Chlamydomonas reinhardtii: one gene and its partners. The main gene of each other region encodes a partner of the protein of the gene in region 3 in a complex. Links are inferred from orthologs where the notes say so. Each region holds a gene or a part of one and is shown on either strand. Other genes may lie near its edges.

What was found. The genes of interacting proteins can lie anywhere in the genome.
Region 1: CHLRE_12g517700v5 (region 3) and CHLRE_12g514700v5 share a complex: the UniProt entries of both Arabidopsis thaliana proteins name them as parts of the SGR1-CCE-LHCII complex. The link is inferred for Chlamydomonas reinhardtii from reciprocal best matches to the Arabidopsis thaliana genes NYC1 and PPH.
Region 2: CHLRE_12g517700v5 (region 3) and CHLRE_11g468700v5 share a complex: the UniProt entries of both Arabidopsis thaliana proteins name them as parts of the SGR1-CCE-LHCII complex. The link is inferred for Chlamydomonas reinhardtii from reciprocal best matches to the Arabidopsis thaliana genes NYC1 and HCAR.

The regions. Positions count from the first base shown.
Region 1 is NC_057015.1:3,711,403-3,716,470, reverse strand, and holds the start of CHLRE_12g514700v5 (uncharacterized protein), read right to left. Parts: upstream 3,420-5,068; 5' UTR 3,254-3,419; intron 3,027-3,253; 5' UTR 3,015-3,026; coding exon 2,974-3,014; intron 2,771-2,973; coding exon 2,731-2,770; intron 2,526-2,730; coding exon 2,408-2,525; intron 2,222-2,407; coding exon 2,074-2,221; intron 1,771-2,073; coding exon 1,693-1,770; intron 1,419-1,692; coding exon 1,325-1,418; intron 1,169-1,324; coding exon 1,140-1,168; intron 984-1,139; coding exon 824-983; intron 651-823; coding exon 499-650; intron 275-498; coding exon 1-274. Other genes in the region: CHLRE_12g514650v5 (uncharacterized protein), read left to right, coding at 3,763-4,074, 5,024-5,068. UniProt on the Arabidopsis thaliana protein: Alpha/beta hydrolase dephytylating specifically the Mg-free chlorophyll pigment (pheophytin), yielding pheophorbide. No activity on chlorophyll. Belongs to the chlorophyll catabolic enzymes (CCEs).
Region 2 is NC_057014.1:2,061,007-2,066,158, reverse strand, and holds the start of CHLRE_11g468700v5 (uncharacterized protein), read left to right. Parts: upstream 1-1,733; 5' UTR 1,734-1,825; coding exon 1,826-1,881; intron 1,882-2,035; coding exon 2,036-2,304; intron 2,305-2,487; coding exon 2,488-2,548; intron 2,549-3,015; coding exon 3,016-3,118; intron 3,119-3,424; coding exon 3,425-3,495; intron 3,496-4,061; coding exon 4,062-4,110; intron 4,111-4,384; coding exon 4,385-4,450; intron 4,451-4,829; coding exon 4,830-4,865; intron 4,866-5,040; coding exon 5,041-5,126; intron 5,127-5,152. Other genes in the region: CHLRE_11g468750v5 (uncharacterized protein), read right to left, coding at 482-560, 831-1,025, 1,374-1,519. UniProt on the Arabidopsis thaliana protein: Probable iron-sulfur flavoprotein that converts 7-hydroxymethyl chlorophyll a to chlorophyll a using ferredoxin as a reducing equivalent. Catalyzes the reduction of a hydroxymethyl group to a methyl group. Belongs to the chlorophyll catabolic enzymes (CCEs).
Region 3 is NC_057015.1:4,070,925-4,075,874, reverse strand, and holds the start of CHLRE_12g517700v5 (uncharacterized protein), read right to left. Parts: upstream 3,070-4,950; 5' UTR 2,840-3,069; coding exon 2,590-2,839; intron 2,314-2,589; coding exon 2,036-2,313; intron 1,838-2,035; coding exon 1,676-1,837; intron 1,421-1,675; coding exon 1,276-1,420; intron 1,063-1,275; coding exon 920-1,062; intron 259-919; coding exon 10-258; intron 1-9. Other genes in the region: CHLRE_12g517681v5 (uncharacterized protein), read left to right, coding at 3,422-3,471, 4,525-4,630, 4,760-4,876. UniProt on the Arabidopsis thaliana protein: Involved in chlorophyll b degradation. Belongs to the chlorophyll catabolic enzymes (CCEs).

The DNA.
Region 1 (5,068 bases), about 360 kb from region 3:
ATCCCAGCTGGAGTGCAGCGGCAGACCCATGCGCGCCCCCACCACCTCAGCCGGCTCCCGCAGTGGCGTCGCCACCGTGTCGAGCGTTGCCACGGGGCCGTAGCTGTAGGCGGCTGAGGCCCCGGCTGCTGTCGCTGAGGCGCCGGCGCCAGCTGTTGTGGATAACGAGGGCGCAGCCAGGGCGAGCTGCGGCTGTGGCCGGGCCTCCTGCGCCGCCACCCACGCCCGCAGCGCGCGGTTCACCGCCGCCGGTGTCTCGTGGTGCGGGCAGTGCCTGAGTTGGCAGCAGATGCACAGGAAGTTTGGTAGGGTGCACCAGCATAACACGACGACCAGGGCCCTGATTATCCATGTACGCCCCCACGCGCAGTGTCACCGGCGCTCCCACCCAGCCGTCTGCGTCCCAGCCGGTAGCGCACACCGCGGATGCACACACGTGACACGTTCTAGCTTGCAGCCCCGCACCCGCCCCGCACATTCACCCACACGGCCACGTACCCTGCGGGGCTGAGCTCCAGGTACATGGCCTCGGGCAGCCGCCGCTTGAGGCGCTGCCCCCACAGCGGCCGCACCCAGGGGTCCTCCTTACCGTACAGCAGCAGCACGGGGCAGGCCAATCGGTCCAGCAGCTCGTCGAACGACAGCTCACCCTGGGGAGAGGCAGGCAGGCAGGAGAGTAGTGGCGGGCGGGAGGGAAGTCGGTCTCAGTCGGTCTTGGTCAGTCTTAATCGGTTCTTCTCAATCGATGCTGGGGCAGATGGCAGAACGTCCCCACATCATTCACAGAAAAAGCAAAAGAGGAGGTAGCATGCGGGGCTCTCACCTTGGGGCTGAGCACGATGCTTGTGAATGCGTCCAGTGCGCCCGGGTGCTGTGTGGCCTCCACGATGCGGCTGATGAGCGGCGGGTCGGGCGGGCTCTTGTCGGCGTACACCAGCTGCAGCATGGCGCTGATGGTGGCGGGCGAGCGCAGCGTGTCCCACCTGCAAGCACAGGGAGGTGATGGAGGCGGCGGCGGTTGAGATGCATGCGGCAGGTGTGTTTGCGTGGAGGTGTCAGGTAGGACAGCTGAAGCGCAGCGCAAACAGCGCTGTGTAGATCCATGCGGTGTGCTCAGCGGCTGAACGTCTCGTGCTCACCAGTAGCGCTCAATGACGCTCTTGAGGGACTGCGGGGCAAAGGGGCAGCAGCACAGCGTATCCCTGTCAGCACACGAGGCTGCTGCACGTCACTCCACACCACACGTCGCCCATGCAACTCGCCCGCTGGAGCCTGCCTCTCTCTACCGTACTGCACAGCATCATCGCGGCATGGCAGCACTCACGTGGGGCACGGGCACGGAGCCGTCCACCGCGCGGTCCAGTGCCCGCCACAGCCAGCTGCGCGCCTGGGCCGACGCGCGGGGCGGCCGGAAGGCCCTGCGCAGTCGCATCGCCAGATGTTGTGCTGCGATATCCTGACAGTAAAAGGACTAGCTAGCAGATGAGAGACCATCGTTTCCACCGCACCGCACCACAGCCAGACACCGCGTGTGTGTGTATCAGGAACAGCACAACGCAGAAGGGGGGTCGACGCCGCGAGTGCGTGTGGCGCCAGCACCGATTGCATGGCCCAATGGCTTCAAGGAAGTGCCAGGTGTGGATTCTGTTCTCACCGCACCAGCCCGCGCCGCCATGTGCCCCCGCTGCTCACCAGAAGGGCGTTGCGTTTAGCAGCGTCAGCCCCTTGACCAGGTCGGGCCGCCGAGCGGCCAGCATTACGGCCAGGTAGCTGCAGGCGGGGCAGGGAGAAGGCAGGTTCAGGCATGCCTCTAGGGTTAGGCCATGGCAGCGACGGAACGGGGCCGCGGCCTGTCATCCCAAGCTACAGCAACCGCGACCAGAAGGACCCCTTGGCGAGACTGCGAGCACGCTGTGTGTGAGCGTGCACGCGGGCCAGCAAGAGCTGGGCACTGTGCCCCTGCCGCTCACAAGCATTCCTATACAACCTTCACCGCCCTCCGTTGCCTGTAACCCTCTTGGGTTAGTTTGGCTTTACGGTAAGTAATCCCGCCCCCTCGCAGCGCGTACTCACCCTCCGAGGGAGTTGCCGGCCACGTACGCGGGCTCTCGCACCACCTGCTCCAGGAACGCCTCCAGCTGCCGCGTCCAGGTGTCCACGCTGAAGAACAGCTTGCCCGCGGCGTCCGAGGTCGACACAGGCTGGGCCGGCCAGCTACGGCCTGTGGCGTGTGTGCATACGCGTGTGTGTGTGTGGAGTCAGCAGTACGTTGACCAATGGTTAGCACAGGACTTGGTGATTGTTCGAGTTCAAATTATGCCGACACCCACGGGGCGGACAGAGCAGGGCCGGACACAAGTGCAAGCGATTGTCCAGCACCATATAAAGCACCCCTGTGCGCACTCACCCTGCCCCAATAGGTCCACCGCCCACACGCGGTGGTCGTGCTGCAGGTCCTCCCAGTTGCGGTGGAAATGCCAGCTGCCCACTCCAAAGCCGTGGAGCATCAGAATGGGCGGGCCGGACTGTGCGCGGGGGGGGGGGGGGCGGCAAGTGGTAAATCGCAGGGTGTGGGTAGAGTGCGTTCACCATTGCAATCAGGATTGGGAGGACGAAGGGGCGGGGCCGTCCGTGAAAGATGACGGGAAGGCTGCAGGGATGGTAGTGCCTCATGACTTATGCGACTCAGTATGGTGAGTTCGTGAGTGGAGTTCCCACGCAACCGCGCACCTCTCCCTTCTGGCGGTAGCATATTTGAGAGTTGTACTCCCTGCAGCAGGCGCGACGCGGCGGTTGCCCAGGCGTCAGAGCGTGAAGGCCGCGAAGGCAAGGACCTAAACCCTGACACGAAGATTGTGCCCGCGCTGCAGAAGGCTGCTGGCGTTTGCGATGCACTGCCCCCAGGGGCATCCGGCTCCACGCAGTCAGCCGACCCCGAAAGGGGAGTTGCGCGGTGGGCGCTCATCCGCTTACCAGTCGAAGTACAGCTCCTCGCCCCACTCCCCAGTGGACATGGTGATGGGCCGCTGCACGTGCACGTCACAACGCACGGGGGGCTCAGGTCCTCTGCGCCAGGACTGTGGAGCAGTATTCCGCTTTCCCCTTGAGCTGTCAACCGTCCCCAGATATTGGTCCAAGCCGTGACTAGCTGCATCTGCTCCGCTGACGACACCCAGGAATTGTTAAAGCGACCACGCAACTGCTTATGTCCCAGGCAAGCGCTGTTTCAACGCAGCACTCGGCAGAGACTCACCTCCTCCCTCCCGCTCGTGCTCGTTCCTGCAACATCTGTATGCGCCTGTGTCTGGTTGGAGCTAGCTATTTGCAAGCGTTTTAGGAGAGATCGTGCTTGCAGTGGACGAAGAACTGAGCTGGAGCCGTGTTGCGCCAGTCGCTGGTCACAGCCCCTAGCTGATAGCGCTTGCCTCATGGTTGCATTAATATGGCATTGAATGAAAATACTAAATACCTGAGCAGCGACAGAGATTTTCGTGAGTCCCAAATGTTCCATGCCCATTGGTTTTCTTTACCATCGCCCGCTGCGCGAGTAGCTCAATGCCCAGCCTTATAAGGTGAAAACAAGCTTTACTTCTTACCTTTGACGACGCGTTCAAACGACCTGGTGTTGTGCCGCTTTCTAATAAGCTTTCCACTCGTTAGTTCATGTTGCCAACTTATCAAAACAAGATGTGTTAAATACAGCTCTTCGCGGGGCGATATCCGGTCAGCCCCGCGGTCGCGCATGTCTAGCAAAGTGAGCAAATGAGCCGGCCAACGAGCAGGCAGTCAGAAAGCCGGCCCCAGACGGTTGAGGCCCAGCCTGGTGCGGGGTCTTTGCAGACGGTCCCGTCACCAGCGCGGCAGGCATCGAAAAATGGCAGTCGCCCAGCAACGCGCGAGGCTCCAAACACCGCCAGGGGGGACGGGGAGACCCTGGGCGTCGTACCTTCATGCCCTGGGAGGCTAACGGATGCTTACGACGTCCAGAAACCCGTGGGGAAAGGCGGCTATGCGGTGGTCTACAAGGGCATCCGCCGGGACGACGGTCGCGTGGTGGCCGTGAAGAAGGTCGAGGTGAGCTACTCGCTGGGCGGCCTGGGCGTGTTTTCCATGGAAGACCTCCGACGGGAGGAGAGCGGACCAGGGGGCAGTGTTCCAGGCATAGTGCGCAGCTTCACAGGCGCTGGTTGGGCGCTGGTGTGCCGCTGGGGCCAGGCCGGGTTACGGTTACGGAACGGCAGGCGTGGGCCCCAACAGGCGGTCAATATGATGGCCGCTCGTGCAAGCGTGCCACGGACATAGCCGACAGCCGCTCAGCAGTGACAATCCACGTGCAGCAGCTGCACGGCCACCCGCACCGCTGAGCTGCGGCGGGACGCGGGCAAGGCGCAGTACGGTGGCGGCTGCTGGCCGTGGGCTTGCCTGGGGAAGCCCGCCGCCGCAGCTGGTGGCCCCAGGCGCAGCCGCACAGACGCAGCTGCGGTGGATCTGGGGATGCGCGGGTTGCAGGCGCAGCGGGCCACAAGCCAGTCGGCGAGTCGGCAGCAGCTGGCCGCGCAGCCACTGAGGGCTCCAGCCGACGGGTCTGTACACCGCGGGCCACACAGTCCGGCTGGGGTACTGTGCTGATGGATGGCAGGATGGGACGCAGTGGTCGTGGGCCGGGCCTGTAAACCCCGCCTAGCCGCTGGCAGCGCAAGCTTCCACGCGTTGTTTTGGGTTGAAGTCATCCAGGGCAAGGGCTGCAGAACAAATGTCCGCGGCGTCGGCGACGTCCTTCTGTGCCCATTTACCCACTGGGCCGTAGCTGCTTGCAAAGCTGCCAGCAGCCTCACAGCCTCATCGACCTGGGAGAGATGGCCTTGGCAGCTCATGGAAAGCAGTTGGGCGCGTGTGTATGACACCCCGCCGCCCACTCCCTTCCGATTCCCTGGTCATGTGCCATAACCTGTCCACCTTCCCATGCGCCCATCAAGCCCCATCCCATGCCTGCACCCCTCTCTCTTTCTTCAACTGCACACAGATCTTTGAGATGAGCGCCAAGAAGCGCGATCGGTGCCTGCAGGAG
Region 2 (5,152 bases), on a different chromosome or scaffold from region 3:
CGGAGTGGAACAAGGCCGGGGTGCGGGGATGTGTGTGTGCAGGGAGGGGCTGCCGGGCTGGGCGGTACCCTGCACACTGCGCATGCCCCCAGTGCCACCTCTGTCACGCTCACGTCGCCGTGACCCGACGCGCCCTCACGCGTACACACCGTGCAATGGCTGTGCTCCTGTTCCGTCCTCGCTTCACCGTGCCCCCGAGCCAGCCCAACCCTGTGCCGTTACCCGCGCCTCCCAGGTTTCCTAACGTTGTCGCTCATGAAGGCGGCCTCCCCTCATAGCGCCCATTAATCAGCTCCACCCAATTACAATATGGCTCGCCCCCGCCTCTTTTACTCTTCAACTCTTGAATCTTTCAACTCTTCCATGGCTGGCACCAGGCTGGAAATATCGGCCCAGGGCCCCGCTCACACCCCGACCTCGACACGCGTGTCATACACACACGTTCCCCCTTCCCTCCAAACCCGACATCGTCGCCACCCACCGCCTCCACCAGCTCGCCCATGGCCTTCTCCTGGCTGGCCGGGCCCTTCTTGCCGCGGCCATCCTCGGGGTTGTAGGTCCTGCGGGTGGGGAAGGGGGGCGCCAGTGCGTGTGCGTCAGGTCAAGTTGCCGTACTGTCCTGTGGAGGCGCAGGCGAGAGCTTGGTACGACAGGGTGTACCGGTAGTGCTGTGAGCCGTGCAGAGCCTTCAGCCCCCGCCGTTCCCGCTGCTCTGCCACAGTGCCTGCCAGCCTGCCGCTCTCTCTGGCCGTGCTCCAGTCCTCCCAAAATCCCCTGCCCCTATAGCAATGCCCCCCGGCCCTTGAAATGGCGTGTGTTAGAACACTCACAGGGGAGGGGCATAGTGGGTGCGGTCGTTGCCCTCCTCGGAGGTGGCAATGCAGTTGGGCGAGGGAGGGCACAGGTTCAGGGTCTGCACGCCTGCGCCGTAGTCGATGATGCCCAGGTTGCCCGGGCGAGGGGCCGCGCCGATGGACAGCAGCGCGCCCAGAACCATAACGTTCACGGAGCGGAGCACAATCTCCCTGTCGAGGCGGAGAGGGGGAGTCATTTGTTTGCCGGGGCATGCGCGATCGGCCAGCGAAATGTCGCGAGGCACGGTTGGCCTCGCGCACCGGCGTCGCGCACACACCGAGCCTACACGCCCATAATGCATTTGTGAAAGCAAGACGCTGGTGCATTGCCTCGCTAGTCGCGCAGATCGTGGTGCAAGCAAACTTGTGCTCGGGAGGGGCTGCAACGCAGCACCGAGCTCGACAACAGCATTTCGCCCCCGGCCGTCCACCCCTTAAATATAATTCATCCACTTGAGCATTTTTTGAGGCTCAAAGCAGCCATTACAGAAAGAAACGCGAGGTTGCCCCGAAACTCACTTGGGCTGGAGCTTCTCCTCGCTGTCGCCCTTCCAGTTGGCCGCCTGGCAGACCATGCGGCGAGCCACAGGGGCAGTGCGAACAACGGCAACAGCGCTGCGGCGCTGGGCCTGGCCAAACACAACACGCTTCTGGGCCTGCAGCATTTTAAGGGTTTGTTCTGTATAAGGGCAGCTAAAAGCGAGAGGAAATCGTTTCTTACGCAAATTGAGGCAGCTTAAGCGAGCCAGAGCCCACGGTCGCGCCAGCTCATTCCAAGGGACCCACGGGCCTTGCGAGCAAACTGCGCAACTGGAAGGCTGCTAATGCCCGTAATTCGCTACCTTAGTCACTGCATAAACATACATTGCTAAGCACAGGCTGTGCTGGACTCACAAGTTGGCTTGCTGGACCAGTTCACTCGTCGTCTTTGAGCCTCGCGGACCAGAGCACACGCACTGAAGCCAGCACAAATGCTCGGTGCTCACAGCAGCTCGGCGAAGGGTGTCGCTGGGTGCTCGAGGCGCAGGTGAAAGCCTCGTGCATGGAGCAATGCGTGAGGCTCCCGACGTTCATGTCGCATTCTAGAAGGAGGCTTTGACCAAATATACTCAATGCTGCAGAGCGGTGCTCCAGCGATGCCCCACCTCTGACATCACGACACACACTGCTTGCACTTGCAGGGCGAGCCTCGCCGCTGCTCCCGGCGGTGCCCCTGTGCTGCGCGCGCCGCTCCTGCGCCCGCTCTCGGCCACACCTGCCAACTCCTCCTCCTCCTCCGGCGCTTCCTCATCCGCATCCTCTTCCACGCTAGCACCCGACTGGCGCGAGCGCGCCAAGCCAATCCAGCCGGGCAGCAGCTACCCCGCGAAGGAGCACTGCTCCAACTGTGGGCTGTGCGACACGTACTATGTGGCGCACGTGAAAGACGCGTGTGCCTTCCTGGGGCCGGGTAGGGAGCTGAGGGGAGGGGTTCTGAGGAGGGGGGAGCAGGTAATGGGCAGGGGATGGCACCCGGGCAGGGTTGGGGGGAAGGGGGCGCGGAGAGATGGTGGTGTCGACAATTGGGGTACTGCGTTTTCTCAGACTCTGTCACCTGCCCCGACTCTTGACACAAGGTCATCCCTCCATGCAGGCATGTCGCGCATTGATGAGCTGGAGGAGCGCGTGCACGGCCGCCGCCGCGACGTCAACAGGTGGGGCTGTAGATGGGGTGGGGTGGGGTGGAGGGGGGGTTGTAAACACCAGCCCAAACCCAATGCAAACGAGCGAGGAGGAGAGCGTGGGGGAGCCGGGGTAGTCGCAAGCATTCCCACACACGGAGGAGTACTACATGTGCACTAGCGCGTGGCCGTGTGGTGTTGCGGTGTCGCGGCAACGCTCTAGCCGTGAAGCAATGCCTGCGCCATCGCCCGGTGGCGCTGCTCCTATGCTGGCTTGGACTCGTTGCCACGCCAAGCAAATGTCAACGTTTCACATTCCTCACATCACCCCAGGCTCCCAACACAAGTTCCATCGCACACACACACACACACACGCAACATTCGTAAACCGTCGCTTTGCTGCATCGCATACACTGACTTTGTGCAATGTTTTCCTTGTGCTTTTCAACACGCTCAACGCCGCCACTCAACACATACTCCCGCACCCCCCCCCCCCGCAGTGACGACGAGCTCCACTTTGGCGTCACGGCCCCGGGCGGCATGGCCTACGCTGCCAACGTGCCGGGCGTGCCGGGAGCGCAGTGGACCGGCATTGTGACTCAAGTGGGGGTTGGCTGGTGTAGATGGTGGGGTTGGTTGGATGGGTGGATAAGTGGGTGCCTGGGTTGGGATGGGGGTGGTGTTAAGGGAACAACGTCCGCGCCGTGGTCTTGGTATTGCATGGGGTCATGCGTGGGCAATGTCGTACTGATATGCCTCGGCGGGCCGCGCTCCCAACTACCTGTACCAACCGCCCCCACCGCCTCTGCTACTGCGATGCTGCTGCCGTACTGCCAACCGCTTGTCAACCCCTCGCTCCCGTACCCGCCGTACATACTTGCTGCCGCTGCCGTACCGTTACCCATGCAGATCGCCATCGAGATGCTCCAGAGCGGCAAGGTGGACGCGGTGGTGTGCGTGCAGAGCGACGAGAACGACAGGTGGGTGCGCAGGCGGTGGTGGGCGTGTGGGCGTGCCGAAGTGGGCAATGGATCGAATGAGTGACGATCCGAGCCATTCGGCTGTTCGATGGTTGACTTCGTGGCGCCTCGTGGAGCTTCAGAGAGATCAAGGACGCCTGGCCAATCTTGAGGGGCCCCACCGCTCATCCGGCTAAGTCGTCGGCTAACCCGGGGGGTGCGGGCCGCTCGTCCGGCTGGGCGAGCGACTCAGCGCGCTGAGCCCGCAGCCCCCTTCACTGGGCTGAAGCTCTCAGCAGCTGAGCCTTCCGCTCAGCGACCGGAGCTCGCTGAGAGCAGCCGAAACAGCCCGTGTGATCCCTCTACACGTTTGGTCCTGGCAGCGCCTCGACTCCTACTCCTACTCATACTCCTACTGCTCTTAACCTTCTTCTTCAGCCTCTCCGTTGTCAAAGCATAGGCCACGCTGTCCTCGTCGCCCGTTTGCATTGGGATTGCTGTAGGTTGGGACGGCATCTACAGCAGTACAGCCCCACTCCCAGCCCAACCGGCGCCATTCTCCCCCTGCTTGTCCTCCACTCCCGCAGGTTCACGCCAAAGCCCGTGGTGGCTCGCACCGTGGAAGACATCATCAAGGTGTGTGCCGTACATGTTTGTGCGTGGTGTACGTGTTTTTGAGCAAGCATAAAGTAAAGTGTGTGACACGTTTAGCAGGATGCACGAAGAGGAGTGTACGGCATGCCGTGCGTGTATGTGTGCGTGGGGGCCCACGTGGACGCATGCCACCCGTCAGGCCCCGCCAGGCCCCGTCTGCTGCTGACCCGCCCAACCCCACCCTAACCACATTCCAGCCGCCCCAACCATCCGACCAACCGCCCAACCGCCCCAACTGCCCAACCACCCCACACAGGCCCGCGGTGTGAAGCCCACCCTGTCGCCCAACCTAAACGTGCTGGCCACCGTGGAGGCGCTGCAGGTGGGGGTGTGAGGATGACAGGATGTGGTGGTGTGGGGGGGAGGCGCTGCAGGTGGGGGGAGGCGGCGGTGTGTGTGTGAGGAGGAGCTGCAGGTGGGGGAGGCGGTGTGAGGAGGTGGCGGCGTGTATTGGCGGTGTGTGTTCGCGCGAATGAGGCGGCCGAGCTGTGTGCTGCTGCACGCACGTGCGCGGGTTACTCGATCAAACTTGAGTAATGGCCTGAGCATTGGCAAGCTGACCTACGCCGCTGCCGTGCTCCGCTGCCGCCCTCCCCACCACTCGCGTTCCAACGCCTGATGTTTTTTCTTGCTGTCCCCTGATTCCCTGCTTGTATCCTGTTCCCAATGTTTTGTTTAACCTTGAACTCCCCACCCCGCAGGTCAAGAAGCTGCTCTTTATTGGCGTGGGGTGCCAGGTGTGTGTGTGGGGGGGGGGGCCCAGGGGCGCGCAGCACGATCCAACAATGCCACACGTCCCCTGTCACCCCATCCCTCCACCGCCCCTCCACCCCATCCCTCCACCGCCCCTCCACCCCACCCGAACCCCACCCCACCCCACCTGACCCCATCCTCCTCCCCTCCACCGCCCAGGTCCAAGCCCTTCGCTCCATCGAGCCGCACCTGGGGCTGGAGAAGCTGTACGTGCTGGGGACCAACTGCGTGGACAACGGGCCCAGGTGGGAGCTGGCGTGGCGCCTGTCGA
Region 3 (4,950 bases):
CACACGCACCTGGGCGCGGGCGGTGGACTTGGCGTGTCTGCCCATGAGGCGCTCGCGCTCGGGCGGGTACACAGCGCGGCCCTCCTTGTCGAAGAAGCGACCCAGGCGGGCGGGGGCGGTGGCCAGGCGGTACAGCGCTGAGCCCGGTGTCAGGAAGCGCGTGTAGGTGCCGCTCACGTCGCGGGCCACGGCGCTCTTAATGCGGGGCACCAGGAAGGCGGCCACGGTCTCGGGGTGCTCACACAGGATGTTGAAGGCCTGAGCGGGCGGAGTGACAGGCGGCATGGATGATGGTCCGGATGGTGTGTGTATGAATGTGTTGTGTGTGGCGAGGGTTCAAGAGGAGGCTAGAAGCACAAGCGCACGTTGCCCGAAACCGAGCGACAGCAAGAGCGCAAAATAGTCAAGCGCGGACCCCTCCCCAATTACCACTGCCATCTTCGCCATTCCCACAACACACACGGGGGGTTCCCCACGCATCCAAAACACACCCACTCGCCCCTCCCCATGACCGCCCCCTGCCTCTGCCCCACTTGCGTGCATGCGTCGCGCGGTCCCTGGTGCGGCGCCTGTGCTCGCGGCGCGCAGGTGAGTACAAAGCAAGACGGGTCTAGGAAAGTCCAGCGCGCGCGACCGCGACCGTTGCACGCGCATCTGCATTCGCATCTGAGCACTACTGAGCTTTACGCGACTATATAGCATAACATAGCTTTACACTACTACCAGACCTCTCGGGCAACCCATCTCAACTTAGGATAGGCAGCAAATTGGGAGAGCAGCAGCCTCGGAGCGCCTGGACGTACTGGAGCTGGGCGCCGGACGCTGGACTCCGCGGACATCGGTAACGACGACTACTGTGTACCTTTGTACCTGCCTACGACTTCACTTCGTAAACTTAATGCATGTAATCCCCCCACACCTGCTTGTTGGCGGTGGTGGCCCCCTCCAGCAGCAGGTCGGTCAGGATCATGCCCGGACTGACTGTGTGCAGCTTGATGGGTGTGTCCGCCAGCTCGCGTTGCAGCGTGCCCGTCAGCTGCGTGATGCCGGCCTTGGTGGCGCCTGTGGCGGGGTGGAAGGGAAACGTTATGCAGGCGTGGAGTTGCGGATGGGTCGCATGTGCACAGTACTGCTCATGAGTCATGAACTAGAAGCGAGAATGGGAGAAGGGGGGAGGGGCGGAGCAAGAAGGCGGAGACGTTCGCGCGGAGCTAGGCAACCCCTTCCAAGGCCATGCCTGCACTGAAAAAGCCACCTCCGTCCTGCCCTGCTTACCGTATGCCGCGTAGTTGGGAGTGGCGAAGCCGTCTGCGCCGGCGCCGTCCATGTTGAAGATGTGTCCTCCACCCGGCTGGTGCTGCATCAGGCTCACGGCCTGGCGTGTGCACAGCAGCGTGCCCAGCAGGTTGGTGCGGACCACCTGACAGCGGTGGGGGCGGCGGTGGGGCAAGACACAAGGGAGTTGAAGCAAGGAGCGTTGAGTACAACATGCGCGCAGCGAAGGCGTAGGGTATGGAGGTCAGGAACTGATACGGTAATTGTGAACATGGGGCCGAGGACTTAGCTAAGTGGCACGTGCATGGTAACGGTGGGGGTGGGCTGGCGTCACATATAGTGACCGGAGCAGGTCAGGAGGTAGAAGCGGGGCAGGGGCAGCCAGGGCAGGGGGACTGACCTGCTCGATCTGCGCGTCGGTCTGCTCCACAAGCGGCTGGAAGGAGCCGCTGTACCCGGCGTTGTTCACCCAGGCGTCCACTCGCCCGAAGGATGACAGCGCCGCCGCCTCCACAGCGGCCACGCCCACCGCATCGCTGACGTCCGCAGCCACGCCCACCACCTGCATAGGCGCCGGAGCAGCACATGGCTGAATGCACTCGCACACGTGCACCGTGCTGGTCAACCAGCCACTCCCCTCGCCTGCTGCGCCCCGCCCCGCCCCGACCACAACGTAACAAGCCCACGATCCGGCACTGCCCCGTCTTAGAAGCACACCTACGCCGCCTACACTCTTTCGGCCCAGCCATTCCTTGCGCACCTGCGGGCAGCAGCCGTTCAGCGCCGCCACCTCCTCCCGCAGCTCCCGCACTGCCGCGTCCGCCGCCGCCTGCGTGCGGCTGGTCAGCAGCACCCGGTCCCCAGCCGCCAGGAACTCCCGCGCCAGAGCCTTGCCCAGCCCGCGCGAGCCGCCCGTGACCACCACAGTGAGGGGCTGGCGCGGCGCCGCCCACAGCTTGCGGTTGCAGACGCGGTGCATGACGGCAAATAGACCGCCCACCGCGGCGCCGGACAGGACCGGCAGCGCGGACTGCAGGCCTGCGGGCGGCAGTGATAGTGGAGGAGGGAATGGAAAGATGCGGCGGCGATTGGTGTGGGCTCTGGAAGGGGCTGAGAGCTCGCAAGGGGGCGCGGGAGGCGAGGTCCTTGTCCTGGCTGTCGTGACGTCATGACGTGTCAGCAGCGCAGTGCCCGACTCCCGCTTGCGCAACGCCTGTGCGGTCCCTGCGGGCGGCGGCCCTCCCCAGCAGCGGCTGCGATCCCCCGCGAGCCCCAGGACTCAGTTCGCCGTAGCGGCGCACGCGCGACGCTCACCAATGACCGCGGCGATGGAGCCCCACAGATAGGCGGGGAGCACCACAGCACCGAGCGGTCGTTCCAGTCCGCGAAGCCGGTCGTGGCGGCCACGCAGGATATGGTTGATCTGACGGACCTTAGGATGTGCTTTGAACAGGTCTGGCTGTGGCCCGCGAAGCAGCTCGTTGATGAAGCCGCGCTTCGAACTTCCCGAAGTCGAGGGGCCGCAATTGTCCGTGTCCGGCTTGCGAACCGCTGTCACTGGCATGGCCCGAACGCGACGGCATATCTTTGCTGTGCTTGCAAACCCTACATGAGCGTTGCGGCCGGGGCCCACGCTACACATCGGAGCGCCACAGCCAGACAAGGGCTTTGGGCGGAACTATGAGCGTTCGCCTCAGCTGCACAACTCGGACAGCTAGAGATCACTGAGAGGTTGCTGTGAGCACGGAATGGGTGTGATCACGAGGTTAAGCGTTGGGGGCCTGTCGACTGGTCGAGGTCGTGAACGTGCGGCAGGCGAGGGAATGTTTGTATGTTTCGTGTGAAGAGACAGACATTTTATTTATTGGCGCTGCTAGGAATTGGCAGCCTGGTGGGAAAGAATGAAAGAATGGTCATTGATGACGCGGAGCACGAGCAACCAAAGGACGTCATCGTCGTCACTTAGCGTGGCAGCAGTTCACTCGAAAGCATGCTAAAACACGCGACCCCGGGTTTCCCGCTCGACGACTGCAATTCCATGGCCCAACCGTTCCTCGCTTGGCCGCTCCCATTTTCAGAGCACGAGTCAGCACCGTCACTTGTTGCGTCCCCCTTGCGCGCAAAAGGAGTGTTCACGCGAGCCATCATGTGCCTGAGGCTGGTGGAGAGGCGCCGCGCAGTCGCAGGTGCATTAAGGTTAGCCATCCTCGGACGCTTGGCTGCACTGCCGCCTTGCCCTGCCCGCCGGCCCCAGCACCGCAGCTGTACTTGTAGTCGAGGCGACCGAGGACGATCTGCCTATCCACCGTCCGGGCGGTTGGCAGGCTGGACTGCCAGGCGCACAGCGCAGTGTCCGCCTTTAGACGCCACAGCTGTGCTGGTTAGTTGTAGCCGCAGTTCGTGCGGTGCTCCGCCCCCGAGCAGTGCGTAAACGCGCGGCGCTTGTGGCGCTGCTTGGCGGCCGCAGCCCGCGTCTGCTGTTGTCGGGACTGTGCACCATAGCGGTCGCGTTGTCCCGCCCGCCCTCTGCCTGCCGCGTTCCGCCGCCCGCACCGCCGCAGCCTCCGCAGCCGCCGCCGCCGCTGTGGCGGTGCGGGCGGCGGAACGCGGCAGGCAGAGGGCGGGCGGGACAACGCGACCGCTATGGTGCACAGTCCCGACACCAGCAGACGCAGGCTGCGTTTGAAGGCGGACCCTGCGCTGTGCGCCTGGCAGTCCAGCCTGCCAACCGCCCGGGCGGTGGATAGGCAGATCGTCCTCGGTCGCCTTGAATACAAGTACAGCTGCGGTGCCGGGGTCCAGGGTGAGGCGGCAGGGTGAGGCGGCAGTGCAGCCACCTGTGTTAAAGAGCACAAGGAAAACGTGCAGCGGTGAGGCGGCAGTGCAGCCACCTGTGCGCGAGCTCGGCTTTGTGGACCTGCTAGCGCGCTGTACGCCGCCCCCGCCTGGCGGCAGAAGCGCCTGCAGGTCTACTGCTGGACGCAGCGGGTGTTGTGCCGCGAGGCCGTGCGCCTGATGGGCGGAGAGCCGGGGGTGACGCAGCAGAAAAGCGTGCTGGACTGGGGTGGCGGCAGCGCGGGCTACCACGGCACGGTCAGCTGGGCGGATCAGCCGCCACGCAGGGGGTTCGTGCGGCTGCTGCGTGAGCGGTTCGCGCGCCACGTCATCATGATCAACGAGTTCCGCACGAGCATGGTGAGGGCACAGTACACGCCGTCCCTGACCTCGCCCATGACCTGCCCTTTCCAGATGTGTGCGAAGTTCGGGCGCCGCAGCCTGCGCCGCAATCAAGGAGCTGCCGCAGGGCGGCGCGGGCTTCGATGTCCGGGTCTGCAATGACTGTCACACGACGTGGGTGAGTGGGAGTGACATGGGATGACGGCTGGAACGTGGGCGGGGGCAGGAATTGGGGCGGGGGCAGGATTTTTGGTGGGCGACGCGCGACACACTTGGTCCCCGCCCCCGCTGCTGCTGGCACCCGCAGGACCGTGACGAGAACGCGGCCCGCAACGTGCGGCTGCTGTTAATCCTGCAGCTCCTGGGCCGCGACCGGCCGGCGGTCTTCTGCCGGCAGGAGGGCGGCGCGGGAGCGGCTGGTTGAAGTTGACTTAGTTGCTGGAGGTTCCCCTGGCCCGCTGCTGCCTCCCAACTCCGGGTCGCGGTGTCTGGGCGAGG